Linked DNA regions of Yarrowia lipolytica. The protein of the gene in region 2 purifies or fractionates together with the protein of the main gene of each other region. This does not show direct contact. Links are inferred from orthologs where the notes say so. Each region holds a gene or a part of one and is shown on either strand. Other genes may lie near its edges.

Region 1 (5,424 bases), on a different chromosome or scaffold from region 2:
TAATTACATAAATAATCATGATATCATTCAAGTGGTAGATGGAAAGTGGTCCTAACAGTTGATCTCATACCCACCTACAGTTTTTACTAGTCAATTGGATGATCATATGTAAGAAGACAATGACAACCCAAGGGGCATCATCTTAGACGATGCCATGTCGTGGAGGGAACGTGAAGGTCCATACATTAACAATATTGATAGTTGGCAGATCCACTGTGTCTATGACAAGTGAACTCACACATTATTCACCGTTGGTACTGGCCAATGGACGACATAGACTGAAGCAGCTCTTCGATAGGCTCTACACAAGAACACTGACTTGCAGTCTACACTTGATTTTGTCCAAACAAAGATGATAGTTTACATTCATTTACATCATTAGCACTGCTACCGTTATATGATTGATCTGCAACGCTTGTAGTTTACAATTGCGAGAGAACCTCATAATATTTACCCACATCCATCCGCTGTTCGAGGGGCTTGTAGTCGCTTAAACTCGCTTAAACAGTTCGTCGATCAGACATGTATCGAACGACGGCTCCCTGTCCGGTGATGTCCACGGTCTTCTCGTACCAGGCAAGTAGGATGGCGCCGACTCCTTGGGACTGGCCCTGTGGCGAGCCCATGGCCTTGTACAGGTACTTGATGAGCACATCCTGCTGTTCCTTGTTGAGAGCCTTGACCACGGATGGGATCTCGGCCGATTTGGTTGCGCTCAGAACCTCAATTACAGACTTGAGGTGGGCGTCCTGGGTTAGTACGTGGGGTCTGGCGGTTGTTACATTTAAAAGACAACTGATTGTGTCCCCAGATGTCGGTTGATCACGAGCTGATGGGGGTTTCACTTGCTGCCAAGAGCAATCGTTTCCACCGCTCCATACTCACCTTTACCTTGTCATCACCACCGTAAGGAGCAAAGTCCAGCGCAATGGGAAGGGCAGCCTTGGCCTCTCCTCGAGAAATGGCTCCTCGGATTTCCGTGGCCACCTGTTGCTGCTCAGCGGCAGAGACGGGCTTGCAGGGAGGAGTGAGATCCTCCTTGGAGATGAACGAGTCTGGGTCGTACTGGTCGACGTCAATTCTTCGGAAATCAATCTGCGACATGGTGTGTGATGTGTGGTGTGTGCTGCTCGTGAGTTATTTGCAGGTGAGTGGGATTTGGTGATGTGCTGTGCTGTATGCATTATCAGAGTTTGGGAGGATGAATGGTAGGGCAAGTTAGAGGTGATATCCGATGACTTGAAATGGGGGTAGATGACGCATTATTCCAGATGTGATTATACCAGCGGATAGCTCGTGACATGAGATTCACTGGGATATATTCAAATCTCTTGTATCTTTCCCCAATCAGGTTCTAGGTCCGATATTGTCCAAAATTGGAGTAATGAAGGCATGTGTACCAGAGAAAGTCGTATTTGAGCACCTGTACTCGTTTCCAAGTCAATTGACATGGAGCTCCCTCAAAAGCTCTAGAATCAAACCATCAAACCCCACAAATACACCACAAAGGAACCCCGCTCGGCTTCGAACACACAACCACAAGACACACAGGATGGCCCGAGTCATCAACCGCAGAAATAAGCTCACCATAGTGCATTTATGAACACCATCCAGGACCAAGCGATTACTGGACTACAGAAAAGCGTTGGCGCATCATGTGATTGCGGAATGACAGCAGACGGCTATCAAAATCAATAAAATACACCCTGCGTGTGAAATAAGAGCACGTGACCGGGACTGCCTTTTGCCACGTGACCTGTCAACACGCCAGATAAGCTATCTGTCTATCTCTGTTGTCTGTTGGCTACAAAGTAGCTACTGTACGATCTCTATTTCGAAAGAGGCCTACGCATCAACAATCACGTTCTTGCTAGTGAGATACAACCAACAACTACTGCTAACGGCAGCTCTCTCTGTGAAGAGCGAAATTGCGCAGTGTCGGCGGGTATCTATCTGAGCCGGCGTCTCATCTCGCTAAGATACTCCATCGAGACCATTTGCAGGCCTCTCAAAAAGGAAATCAATTCCGAACCAAATAAGCATGACGTGCATTTGGCGGTGGACTTCGATGTGGAGAAAAAGGTGGCAGGAGAAAGCGGTGAATGTAGGGTCAAGATGCGTGAACACATTGCCCACTGAGGGGGAACAGAGCACCACCAAGGGTGAAATTGACCTGATAGAGCACAATAACTGCCCTATGACCACCAACACCCGATCCAGCAAACACAAAAATCCTTACCAGCTGCCTTGTCAGACTCAGAAACACACCTCAAAACCCCAGACGTTAGACTCCGACGCTAGCCCGAGTATATATATTGAAGAGGTTAAAATCATGTGTACCGAGCAAACATGCCAGTCAGACTCTACTGTGGGGTGCGCGGGATGTAGCAAGAGTGGAGGTATAGAGCCGACTTCTCTCAAATTTATCGATTGCTCCAATCGCGCAACTCGAGGTCATGTGACCCACCTTTGGCAGGCCCCATGTCTACTCGTACGTAGATGTACTGGTAGTCATTCATTGGAAGGTCCCTTCTATTCGCAACCCAATCATACAGTGTCTATTCTGTATAGGGTGTGTCTGTCGATGAGGGGGGGAGTTGATGTTCCATACAACGCGATGATAGGGACGGTTTGGCGACATGTCACGTGATCTATTCGAAGGGATACAGGGTCAAGATATGATTTTCATGTTTTTAATTGTATATTTGCTCCCCTTTGGGCCCCTTTCACCCCACCAACCACTTACATAACATGGTTTGCATTTGACTTCTTTTTTTGAATTTTCTTTGCATCACCACCTACACTAATACTCCACCAGGCCTCAAGAAGCAACGCTACCAGCGACCAGGAAGCAAGAGGCACGAGACCGAGGCGAACAAGGCGAATACCACATCCCCCGCTTTACACGCATAGAGCCCACGTGACCTAGGAACACGTGAATTTTTCGGGCAGAATCGGAACCAACCACTCACAAAAAAAAAACACACCTACATTCTACAGACACCACACAATGACGGAGCCGACAAAAGCCGCCGAACACACACACAAGAGCGCCGAGCAGGCCCAGGCACAGCTTCTCAAGGCGGAAAAACAACAGCAGCTGGCGCTTTCGACCGGAGAAACCCCGGAACAACGGAGCGCACGCTATGAACGCATGTTCCGCAAACTGGATCGAGAGGGCAAGGGCCAACTGTCCAAGGAGGACTTTGTGGCAGCCTTCAGTGGCTCGCTCGGTGGATCTGTGCCCGAGTCGCACACGCTGCGAAACGCAGACTCGCTGGTGGGCAACCTGGTGAATCTTATGGACACAAATGAGGACGGTCTCGTGGACCTGTCCGAGTTCCAGTCGTACCTGGAGCTCACGGAACAGAACCTGGTCTACCTGTTCCACATCATCGACGACAAGGGAGACGGTAAGCTGGATAGAGAGGAGCTGGCCGACGGAATGGCAGCTGTGGGACTGGGAGACATGGACAGCGACACGATAGACGACTTCTTCAAGGCCCTCGATCGAGACAAGGACGGATACATTTGTTTCGACGAGTGGCGCGACTTCCTGCTGCTGGTCCCAAATGAGGCCGGCTCTACCCTCAAGGCCGCCTACAAATTTTTTGTAGAGGAGCTGGATCTCAGCTCCGAAGGAGACGTGATTTTTCACAGAGACGTATTACAAGGTCTGGGGTACTTTCTGGCTGGCGGTCTTGCCGGAGCCATCTCCCGAACAGCCACCGCTCCTCTGGATCGGCTCAAGGTCTACCTGATTGCCGATCCTATCACTCCCGCAACCACAGCCGCTGCTTCAGGAGCCTCGGAGGCCGTCTATGAGAGCATTGCCAAGAACGCATCCAAGGCAAAGCCCCCGTCGGGGTTCATGGCCCGACACCACGTGCTGATCAATGCCATCAAGAACATTTGGGCCGAGGGAGGAATCCGGTCGTTCTTCATTGGTAACGGTCTCAACGTGTTCAAGGTGATTCCCGAGTCGGCCATGAAGTTTGGCTCGTTCGAGACCGCCAAAAAGTTTCTGTGCCAGCTGGAGGGAGTGGAGGACACTGCTGACTTGTCCCGTGCATCAACTTTTCTGGCCGGAGGTATCGGAGGTGTCGTGTCGCAGTTTGTGGTCTACCCCATCGATACGCTCAAGTTCCGAATCCAGTGCGAGCCCCCCACCGGCGCTCTTCAGGGCAATGCGCTTCTGTGGCACACAATGAAGCAGATGTGGAGAAACGGAGGTCTGGCCACCTACTACAGGGGTCTGTGGGCTGGTCTGGGAGGCATTTTCCCTTATGCCGCGCTTGATCTAGGAACATTTGAGGTCATGAAGCGAGGATACATTACCCGAGAGGCAAAGCGACTGGGCTGCGAGAACTCTGACGTCAAGATTGGTAACATGGCCGTTCTGACCATGGGCGCATTATCCGGTTCCGTCGGAGCCACGGTTGTGTACCCCATCAACCTGCTGCGAACCCGTCTCCAGGCCCAGGGAACTGCTGCTCATCCTCAGACGTACACTGGCATCATGGATGCATACCACAAGGCGGTGACCAAGGACGGTTACCGGGGTCTGTTTAGAGGTCTGGCTCCCAACCTTGCCAAGGTGGCTCCTGCCGTCAGTATAAGTTATTTGGTCTACGAGAATACCAAGACCATGTTGGGGTTGGAGTAATGCTGGAGTAACCATCATTGCTCATGTACAGCACCGGACCTATAGTAGAAGCATAACATAACGCATGTTGAATATAATAGAGCATAGAACAAGTACTTGTAGGAATGGACTGAGGGTGTACGAATAAAAATATTAGATCGCAATATGGACGCATAATGTATATGACGAGTCCCCTTGTGACCGACTGTTGTAAGGATCATCATCGGTGAAGTGGTCGACTATCATCGGTGAAATGGCCGATTATATCACCAGTAGCCCAGTTACACATATTCCAACCAAGAAACAACCTCTATGGGTCCTGTTTCGATCTTTCTGACCACGACATCTTCCAATCCTGGGACTTGTTTGCTACTTTGAGCCTCTGATGATATCCAGCCCTCCAGAGTATGGCGTCCTTCCAGCTCACATTGGATCTTGAACGTATGTTCCAACTTGGAAGGGTTGAAATTTGGCCCGTAGTTAGCCAGACGTGTGAAGAACGCGTTGAATTCGAGTTGGAGGTCCTCGATCAGTGTGGGAGCGTCGGTCACTGGCACTGTTTGGTCAGACTCCGGTACAACAGGAATGTTGAACTTGATTGGTATCGTAGCAACGTGTTTGGAAGCCGAGTTGTGAATCGATATTGCCACGGCGGCGCATTTACCGTCCTTGAGCAGGTTTACGCACTCGTGGCTCGCCTCGTCAATGTATCCATTGACTACTGGTGCTCGACAGAGCCACACCGCGGAGTTGAACTGACGCACCTGTTGAAAAGCGTC
Region 2 (10,497 bases):
ACGTCGTGAGCTGTGTATGTGATGGTTTTCGGGATGCGGTGATTCTGTAAATAATGGGATGTAGAGGAGGTTCCAGTGAGGGACTTACTGGAAGCAGAGTCGTAAAAAGGTGCTATTATTGAGTAGTTGCACAGTTGAAGTCGCTTATCCTGTGACAATGTCATGTTCCGGATTATTCTCCCGAACACTTGCTATCTGGGATCATGAACGTGGTTATCCTGGTCAGGACGGGAAAATGGCCTGCTCATCTACAAAGTCATCGAGCCTGGTCATATTGATTTAAAATACACGTAACAATCAAACTCTTCAGAGTGGTTACCGTACCAGTACCCACGCCAATCTATCTCGATAATGCCTTCCATACACCTTCACTACAGTCAGTTGTTATTCATATCATATTCATTACAATGGTACATGGAGACATACCGATGCATAGCTAGTTCCGACCGTTAGATGAAGAGAAGTCAATCAGCAGCACGCTACGTCAAGTTACTGGCCACCTAGTTGGGATGCTTGAAGGTTCTTCCACTGGCGGTCTTCTTCTCCTTGACCACATTCTCCTGCTTTGCTCGGTTCAGCACCTTGAGGAACTCGCTCACTCGGAATCGCATTCGCGAGTGCATATAGGCCTTGGAACACTTGATATGGTAGTGGAAGTAGTCTCGGAAGATTTGGATGTGCGAGATACAGTTCTCTCGTCGAGAGGCCACAAGATGTCGGGGGAAAAGCACAAAGGTGACGTATCCCATGTTGTCGGCGTTAGAAGAGGGCTTGACAACGTCTCTGATCTCCAGCGGCGGCTCCTTTTGCGTGTACAGCACCTGGGGGGCGTTTTGGATGGCTCTTCGTCGAGCGTCAACGAATTCCTGCAGGAACACCTTTCCAAAGATTCGGTCAGTCTCGTCCTTGAAGATGGTGGAGAAGATGACGGTGACTCGGTCGTAGCTCGGTCGCACGTAGATGGACTCCTCGTCTCGGTAGTGGATCGCCATGACCTCGTTATCGGACTTTTGGGGGGCGTACAGGTCCTTGCCCTCGGCAGCAGCCTCCTCGGCCAGCTGGTCGAACTTGTCAAAGGCCTTTTCGAATGGAGCAGCAAACGTGTTTCTCTTGAGCAGTGCAATCTTGTTGACAAGCTCGTCTCGCTGCTCGGGGTCCGAGGGGATGGAGCCGTCTGTGAGGTTGAGCAGCAGCGAAACGTCGTATCCAGGCTCGGGCTCGGTCAGGTAGGGGCCATACTCCCGCTCCAGAATCTTCTTGGCGCCGCACTTGACCAGATCCTGGAAACACTTGATGTACATGGACACCATGATGACCGTCTTGTCCTTGGGGTCCGGGTTGGAGATGTGGAAGGTGACATTGTCGAAGTCCGACACCACCTGATCGATGCCCAATGGCGGGGTTTCGGGGTCCAGACGCTCGCTGAGCACCGATTGCAGCAGCAGGTTTTGGTACTGGAGCATAAGCATGTTGGCGGGTCTTGTGGAGTGCTGTGTGGGAGTGCTGGGTCTCGCAGTGGGTGTATAGTCAACGTGGAGATGTGTGCTGTACCACTGCGTTAATATCGTTGGTTAGTCAGAACTCTAATGGGAAGCTGGGGACGAACCGCGCGAAAACTGGTGGCACCAAGAGCAGATTATATACGGAGAAAATGACAATTATATTCCTCGAGCTTGTGATTGATCACGTGTCACCCAAAATCTTCCCCCAGTGTTATTATTTGCCGCAGTTGCAGACTCGCTAGATGACCTTCACACCACTGTTTATGCACTCACTCGGAGATAAGCCCTCTGGGTTGCGGATGTAGGAGTTGATACTTGTGCGAGTACTGTGCAAGTACGAGTAATTGTAGCCGGAGTAGTCAATTACAGCGGTGAAGGTAATTGGTGACATATGCTGGAGACGCCGATGGATAGATGGGGTCCCAATTGGACACGGAGGTGAAACCCCGACCTTGATAATCCATTGTTAGGAACAGTTTACTTGGGAGTATGCTTGACATTTTACTTGAACTCTATCACGAGTGACACGGGAACATGTATAATGGGATGTCTCACATCACTGATATTCCCCCTATATTGAAGTATTCCACTCTGTCAAAGTATTCCACCCTATATCGAAGTCTTTCACGGCTGGAGCACCTTTACGATGCTTCACTACAGTATGACCCGTGCTGTTCTTCACAGTCTCTAGCCAGACCTTCGTACACTGTACTCGCACTGAACGCGAACAAGTCTCTATCCATTCAGTACAGTACCTCCCAGTTCATCTGTCTCAGAGACTAACCATCTAAAGTGTTACGTTCCTCTTAGCTCTGATTCTAATCAGATCATGGTTCTGAGCTTGGACTCGGAGGACTACGAACATGATCCCAGACGTTTTAACCTGAAAACACGGACATAGAATGCCCAATTGGGGGACCAGATTCAATTGTTTCACTCCGTCATTGCTCTGGTTTCACAATATCACTCCGGTTTGCAGTACATACTAGTGCAGTATGTAGCAAGTACAGTTCACAGTTCGTACAAGACCACTTACAGACACCTCCAATTGCACCATGGATCCGATTTAAATGTAGTTTTTTTGCCACTGGCTCTGCAAGTTCATTCAATAGAACAATTTTTATTCATTTGACTCAATATCATGACAATAACCACTTTTTTTATTATTCTAATGATGCATTACAGCATGTTATTACCATACCAAAATTCAACGTAAAGATGCAACTTCGACACCAAAATTATTAACTTAATATCGGTTCTACTCGAGTAAAAAGCTACTAGGGGATACTTTTGGTCTTTGAGAATAAATATCCGATGTTATTTACTTTGTACAATGTCGATAAGGGCGTCAAAATCAAAGAAAAATTCAAAATCACTTTTTTAGTCTCTTGACCGTATTTTTTCACGTGATTTTAAGATTTTCGGCCGTGTGGTCTAGTAGCTATGATTCTCGCTTTGGGTGTGAGAGGTCCAGGGTTCAAATCCCTGCTCGGCCCCTTTTTTAGATGCCCTCGAAAATCAGTCCTAATTGTTTTTTTTTTTTTATTTTTTTATCTGTCATCCCCTCCACCTTGCTTTTACGCCTTGCAACAATTTATCCAGTCCCTTAAATCACGTGTACATACTGTACTTGTCTGTTTCAACACCCTGTCTGGCAGGACATGAGATGTTGGACGGACTCTCCTGTGGGGCTCTACTTGTAGGTTTAGCAGTCAGTTATAGTCGATCTAAGGGCAGATTCTGGGAGCAATACGGGGCAGTGGAACCTATTTAGTCGACCGGATGGTGGGATTCGAAAGCTTTTATCGAGCTTTGAACGGGCAGTAGAATGGCATCTGTTGCACTAATGGCGAACGGCGCAACGCTCGGAAGGTCAAGAACTTGTAGTTTCCAAGTACGAATACCATAAGCAACCGACCATGCACCTCACCGTCCCCTCTTCATTCAACAACAGATGGCCAGTTCAAAGTCGATTAATGTTCAAAACCCCCATCTGTATGTTCCATCTGTTGCAGATGTGTGGGGTAGGATTGAAGTTAGTCGCCGACAGGGTTCTCGTTAAGGCGAGGGGAATAGTCGATAAAAGAGGTATTGAGAGCAAAAGAGGAAGAAAAACTAGACAAGTGATCATACAGATCCCTTATCAAAGCCGATCTGAACGGGTTTCCCCCTTCCTTTCTCCTACTGTAACGCTTCTTGGGTGGTACAGGAGAACCTCTCGTGAGACAAAGAAGGTGGGGGGCACTGCAGACGGAAGTCCGGAAAATGCAGACCCCGACAACAGAGTGAGGGGAGCAAATGCCAAGACTGGTTATCTGGATGTAATTCCCATTGTCCGACAGGTTTCGGCCGAAGTTACGTTGACACAAGTTCTAATTCAACCTGTAGGCATTCGTAGGTACACCTCCCACCGCCGTACACACCTGACGCGGCTAGATTGTTTATTTGCAACTGTAACTATGTAGTAGCAAGGATACAATTAGCATTGGGTGGGTCCTTTTGATTGTGGAGACAGTTTCGAACAGTCCTGTCCCGTTGGTTCGCTGTATTGAGGTCACAATTGCGTGGTTCTGCGAGTTTACGTCTAGAGTAAGCAAAGATTGTCCAACAATCAACTTATATCCCAATAAAACCTCACCGACACCCCTCCTACCCCACAGTACCATATCATTCCCCACAATCCAACTTAATGTGGACTTCTGCTGAGTCTTCTGAGTTTGCTGAGCTCCTTGTACTCGCCTTGTACTGGTTTCCTATATAGCCATGTTGGGGGTGTGTGTAGAGCAGTAAAAATGAACGAATCAACCTTCCCAAAGACCTCAATTGAACATCTCGAGGACACCAAACACTCCATTGAACACCTGGAAGATGACAAGCCGTCAGTTGAGCATCTGGAAGAGACCAAGACAGACGATCTTTATGTCCAACACAGCGTCACTTCTGGACAAGTGTCAGACGTCTCCATTTCAAAGAAGAAAGAGGGCCATCTGAAATTACACAGAAGTATAGCCGTTGGTTGCCAATTCCAAGTTTTTCTTGCTTCTCATATTGTTTCAAGGGACGTGATTGGAGTGACTGTCACGGGAGGAATTGAGCCTTTTCTGAAACTCACCCCCTCTGAATATGAATGGTCGCAGGCAGCACTATACTTCACCTACGCTGTCTTTGTAATTCCTATGGCTTTGCTGTTTGCTAAATCGAACCCGCGCGTGTTTGCTGGAGTCCAAATGTTCATCTGGGGTCTCTGTTGCACACTGTTGGGCATCTGTGTCAATTACGGAGGTCTTACAGCGGACAGAGTGATTATGGGGGCCGTCATGAGTGTTGCGCTACCTGTAATTCTTCAGGTTACATACGAGTCTCATGGAAGATTCGAGGGACAGTTTGTCATTGCCTGCTCCTGGGCAGTATCTTGGTTCATGGTACCGCTGTTTGCCCTCATCGCCATTGCACTTGGTCTGATTACAGACGGAAAGCCCGGTTGGGCGTGGATGTTTTTCATCACCGGAATCTGTGGCTGTCTTCAGGCTCCTCTGGTGTGGAGATTGCTGCCAGACTACTTCTACCACCCCAGATGGATCAGAAAACATGGTGAAGACGGATACCAGCTGTTCAAGAAAATCACCGAAAAACACTATGCTGGAGGAAACCCGATCGAGCCCATCGAGACAGTCATTCAGGGCCTTGGAATGGCTCTCAAAGACCCCATTGTCTGGCTCACCGGTGCCATGGGTCTCTTTACTTACAATGGTATCTTTTCGTGCTATGGAGAGCTCATGACCGTGACTCTGCACGTGCTCAAATACTCACCAGCTCTAGGTCAATGCATCGTTTGGCCCATTCTGGTGTGGAGTTGCTTCTACTGTCTAGTTCAAAACTGGTTCTCCACTAAGTACAAGACCAACTACCCGTTCCTGCTGGCGAACTACCTGTTTGCTATCATTGGATGGGCTCTCGTTCTGTGCACGCCCAGCCACAAGAACTTTTGGATCAAATATGGAGGAGCGTGGTTCATTATCCCCAACATGGTCGCTGCCATGCCTACTCTCGCCTGCTGGCTGGGGAGCAACGTCCAAGGAAGAAACAGAAGACTCATGAGCTTTGCCGTTTTCACCTTCATCACTAACTGGTATGGAGTCATTGTTCTGCGAACATGGGTCGCCACCGCCGCTCCTCTGTTTGTGAAAGCCGCCTGGGTCAATATGGCGTTTATGATTGCCGGCGTTGTATTCACCGCCGCCCTGGTGGTGGTGCTTAAGCTGAAGACGAGTCACGGGGCCTTCGTGTATTTGCTGTAGGTGATGAGATTAGTTGTAATTGATGTGATTGTTGTGCGAGGAATGAGCCGTGAAACTTGACGAAACAAGTAGACCAGTATACTGTCAGAAGCTGAAGAATGGTGAGTGTATCACTATCTCTATCTCCGAGCCAACACCACCTAGATATTGGACACCCGCTGAACAGACTGGCCTGTTGCACGTTTGACCAAAATGAAGACTACGAGAACCTGTCTCCCAAGGAGCGAATGAAGCTCAATCCCGATAATGACTATAAGGAGCCTGAATACACCAAGAAGTGCCGTTAATGATGAAGACGAGCATCCTGACAAGGAGTCAATATCTGTTCAGGACGATAACAAAGTCCCTGTGGCTCTGTGTGCCAGACTACCACGAAGTCTCTGAGGTCTGTATGCCGGGTGAATCCTGACCGCGCTGATAAACCCACCCTGTTGAACACGGATAAGGAGAGAAAAGTAAGATCGAGCGTCCTTCCGAGCACCAGACAAGTTCGAAGACTTTACGATGGTCAACTTGATGCAGTGTTCAGGACAAAGTGTCATCCCACAAGTGGTCTCAGAGACTGCAGAGTGGTTATCGGACGTCTTCCCAGTAAGTCACAAGGGAAACTTGTACATAGATTAACGACCTCCACTTGACTGGATAGGTTGCACATGACTGGATAGGGCTTGTTCCGACTTCACAACACCACAGGACTCTTTGGAGGAGTAGGACTGAGCCCACATCAGGTCAACATCAGGTCATCATCTGGCCAGAAAAAATCCCCCTGCTCTTGTGGATTTATCACCACAAACGGGAACAAGGTCTCTCCGATCAGTAGTAAGTCGCCAATCCATTTGCGAGTCACTGACATATTTGATATAAATTCACTTGATATTTTTTTGAAAAATTATATATATTAAGGTTTCTGATTGATAAGATAAAAGACGGGGGTCTGTGGGGGTCAGTATCATAACCACTCCACCATCGCTGCCTGGTTTTGAAATCGCTGTTAAGGTGCTTTTACGCACAAGCTCGTATCGCTCAGCCACATGCCATCAGTACTTGATATATGCAGTCAGACGTCACAAACTGCAGATCTGTACATGTGGACTGTATCTTGGGTTCGAACTGGTGATAGCGATTCTTACGGTACTGTACTAGTATTGCATTCAGAAAGGTGTATTTGAGAAAAAACTGGCTTGGAAGTGACTCCTACAGAAGGTGGAAATCTCGTCGGTGCACGGAAAGTAGATTCCTCGGCGACAGTTAAGTAGAATGATGTTCTACTTGCTCTCAAGCGATCAATCTACTTACGACAATGCCGATAGTGATAAACTCAAGAGCAACTTATCTGAACCCGGCTACGGTCTTCTATCCGACTCTGTCTCACACGTATCGATCGATGGAGTTGAGTGTTGACCCGCAGCTCAGTGCTTCCACTGCACATCTGTCTCTGGAGTCGCGATCTCAATGAATCCATTACTGAAGCCTCTCGGCAGTCTGGATATTCTATTGAACGACACCTGATGCAATCATGCCGTGGTACTTGTTGTGTAGAACCTACCGCTCGCCCTGATCGTCCGAGTGTTAGTTGAGCGTTGGTCGAATGAGCGTTTGTTTGACTGGGTGCTAGTAGACCGAATGTTAGTCGACCGAGTGTTAGTCGACCGAGTGTTAACCCTGACTAACGCTTGTTAGCCCTTGCACTGTAGCAATTGACGGTTCCAGCTGATCTACGAAAATGCCATCTATCATACACAGTTAGCATTTATTCTCATATAGTCGTTAATAAGTCCCGACGCGCGGACGTCTGCTCTAAAGGTGCGTCTCTCCCATGTCGTGTCGCCACGTCTATCTATCGTCCGGAAAAGTGGACCGCGATCGGAACCACAATCACCACAATCAGAATGATGACTCCAATGACCAGACAGACCTTCATCTTGAAGTCCTTGAGCCACATGGCCTTTCGCACCCGGTTGGCGCCTCGTCGGAAGCCCTGGGCCGACACCGCCAGGTTGTCTGTCTTATCTTGCAGCGAGTCCAGTCGTTCTCCTCTCTCCGCCACCTTGTTGATGTTCTCTCGCATGATGCCCACGGTATCGTCGATTTGCGCCTGGATGGCGGCCGTTTTGTGGTTGCCCGTATGGTGCGTCTGCGCATGGCTCTCGCCGGCGTACGGGTCGTACGGCATGGAGGACGACATTGTTGTTGGTGTAGCTAGCGGCAAATCGTATACCTGGTGGTGCGGTTCAAACACATGGTTGGTGGGGTCGCGGTTAGGGTAGATGGTGAGAACCTTGACCCATGTGTTTGGTTATTTTGGCCCGGAGGTATTTTTAGACCGAGCGGAGCGCGTTGATACGAGTTGGGGAGCGAGCTATTTTGGGCCCTTTTTTCGTTCGTTTTTGTTTACAGAAAATCCGCTTGTTTTTGGCCCGTCAATTGGACAACAGGGTCCGTCTGAGTGCGCCACGCGTGGCTGGGTAGAGTTTTGGAAGAAAAATAAAAAATAAAAATAAAAAAAAGAAAATATAAAAAAATTCATAGAACTAAAATCTGGAAAAATAAAAAAATTGGTGAGAACAAAACAGCACAGTGCAGTAAGGTAAGTAGAGAAAGGCGTTATTGTTGGAAAAAGGAAACCTTTAGCTGGTTATTTACTTAATTGTTGGGGAGTTACTGGGTACGTACAGTATGTACAGTACAGTACGTATGTGTACTGGTGTGTAATATAATGACAACCAGGTGGCGGAATTGATCCACTGATCGGGGCTTTTTGAGAAGCCCATGATTCTATGGTGAAAATATTCTGTGTTTTTCTGTTGTACAATTGCAGGCACCGTCTTCTCGTGCTCATATCTGAAAACTTCAAAGAACCGTCTTGGCACATAAATGACAATTATTCACCCAATTCGACTCACTCTGAGCATTTTATGACTGTAAAAATGTCCACGATATGTATTTTGACGGGAATGTTACCTTTTTCGATCTCCTGATATACTCATATTCTCTTGGGTGTCTCCGAAGACGGACAACCGGCTCACGGAGTCAATCTTAAGTAATTACCAACTATAATTATAACAAATTGTAGTGGAATACGTAACAACAACAGAGCCAGACTAGAGGGATCCAGGAGATTTTGAGGAGTTGCAACATCTAATGTTTACATCAGAAAAAGGTACTATTAGTACAAGTACACTACATTATTGTCCCTCTTGGCGAGTATCACTATCTAGAGTCACTCTTTCCAGCATAACACTACTCCGCGGAGAGTATTTGACACCATTGTCTGACCTGAGGAGATTATAAAAGAGGAAATGCTCCGGTAAATGTCCAGGCCCAAAAAATCGTTGCAAAGGACGCCTGGAACATATCTCTCAGTGCCCAGAACATCCCTAAAATGAACGTTGGAACTTGCTCGTCCGCAGATCATCTCAATTCCGTAGAGGTCATGAGGTCTTAGGGACCAAATCGCCTCCCCAGATCCACTCATCTCTCTCTTTTTCCCATTCTTTGGTTCTGGCTCTCGTGACGTCATCAGTGCACAAGAAAGTTGGTGTCTGGTGAATGAAGGAGGACTAACTGTCAGTATTGTACATTACTGTTGGTGATGCAAGAGGTTGCGAATATGGAGAATAAGGACAAGGATCTTGCTACCACAGAGATGATATGACAACATCAGTGCTTGTATTTACTGTTTTTTGGCCGGACTCGTCGAAGAGCCGAGAAAACTCGATTACTTTTCTCCCATACTTCTCTCCCATACCGATTACGTCTCCCCAACCAACACTAATACGCCATGTCTGGCAAATCCCGGAATAACTATTCGTACTGGTAGCTTTCTCCATTCCGTTCCATCTCATTTCATTTCACTTGCCGGTCTCTCTTTCTGTCCAACCTAATCCAATCAGGAATGTCGGGTTCGTCCGCTCGTTCATATATGTATGTATTCGACACGTGTGGCTTGACTGCGGCTCCCGTGCTTTCTGCCGTGCCATCTCGCATCGTCTACACGACGCAAAAGTCGCGGAATCGGTGCGACTTCGACCGGTGGGCGTTTGTTGCAACTTTTTACGATTTCAACTGCCTATAATATCGCCCGGATTCAGTCTCAACGGTCGTCAAGTCGCCATGACCTCCCCCCGCTACCATTGGCGAATCCAATCAAGCTTCGCGCCGTCCAAACTTGTCTTTCTGAAAAACAGTTTGAAACAGAAGCCTGTCTTATCTAGATAGCGACGCACGCAACCACGCAACCACCAGACGTGTGTCCCAGCCCGGGCCAAGACCCGATAACGCGCGATAAGCGGCTAAGTTTGCTTGTTCGAGTCTTGGCAGGCTTGGCAATGCCCCTCAGACGAGGTTTTCTCGACCACAATACCCTCCAACGCCCACTCCCTTCCTGCCCTTTTTGAACCCACTACACGCCCCGACCATGCCCCCCCCCCCCCCCCCAAAGCTAACATGGGCCTTTAGTGTTAGTGTTTGAGCGACTGTATATAAGTGGAATCGGAAATTTCGACGAGTAAATCACTCACCAGTCGTCGGCATAGTGTCGTCGCTTTTCCCTCCTGTCCTTATCGCCATCGCTCCCCTCACCATCTCCTTTTCCGCTGCTCCAAACCCACCATGAACGACCCAGAGGCTAAACCCCCCGACACCCTGGACAACCAGGTCCTGGCCGACATTGGATACAAGCCCGAACTGAAGCGCAA

What was found. The genes of interacting proteins can lie anywhere in the genome.
Region 1: the proteins of YALI1_A03422g (region 2) and YALI1_E13727g purify together in Saccharomyces cerevisiae (affinity purification with mass spectrometry; 5 studies listed by BioGRID, with this or other methods). This does not show direct contact. The link is inferred for Yarrowia lipolytica from reciprocal best matches to the Saccharomyces cerevisiae genes ARC35 and ARC15.

What each region holds. Positions count from the first base shown.
Region 1 is NC_090774.1:1,368,410-1,373,833, reverse strand, and holds YALI1_E13727g (uncharacterized protein), read right to left. Parts: upstream 1,105-5,424; coding exon 886-1,104; intron 750-885; coding exon 501-749; downstream 1-500. Other genes in the region: YALI1_E13718g (uncharacterized protein), read left to right, coding at 2,042-2,650; YALI1_E13708g (uncharacterized protein), read left to right, coding at 3,011-4,666; YALI1_E13683g (uncharacterized protein), read right to left, coding at 4,927-5,424. UniProt on the Saccharomyces cerevisiae protein: Functions as a component of the Arp2/3 complex which is involved in regulation of actin polymerization and together with an activating nucleation-promoting factor (NPF) mediates the formation of branched actin networks.
Region 2 is NC_090770.1:340,791-351,287, forward strand, and holds YALI1_A03422g (uncharacterized protein), read right to left. Parts: upstream 1,470-10,497; coding exon 501-1,469; downstream 1-500. Other genes in the region: YALI1_A03442g (uncharacterized protein), read left to right, coding at 3,422-3,967; YALI1_A03450g (uncharacterized protein), read left to right, coding at 4,295-5,800; YALI1_A03487g (uncharacterized protein), read right to left, coding at 7,638-7,985; YALI1_A03507g (uncharacterized protein), read left to right, coding at 9,914-9,970, 10,015-10,197; YALI1_A03512g (uncharacterized protein), read left to right, coding at 10,412-10,497.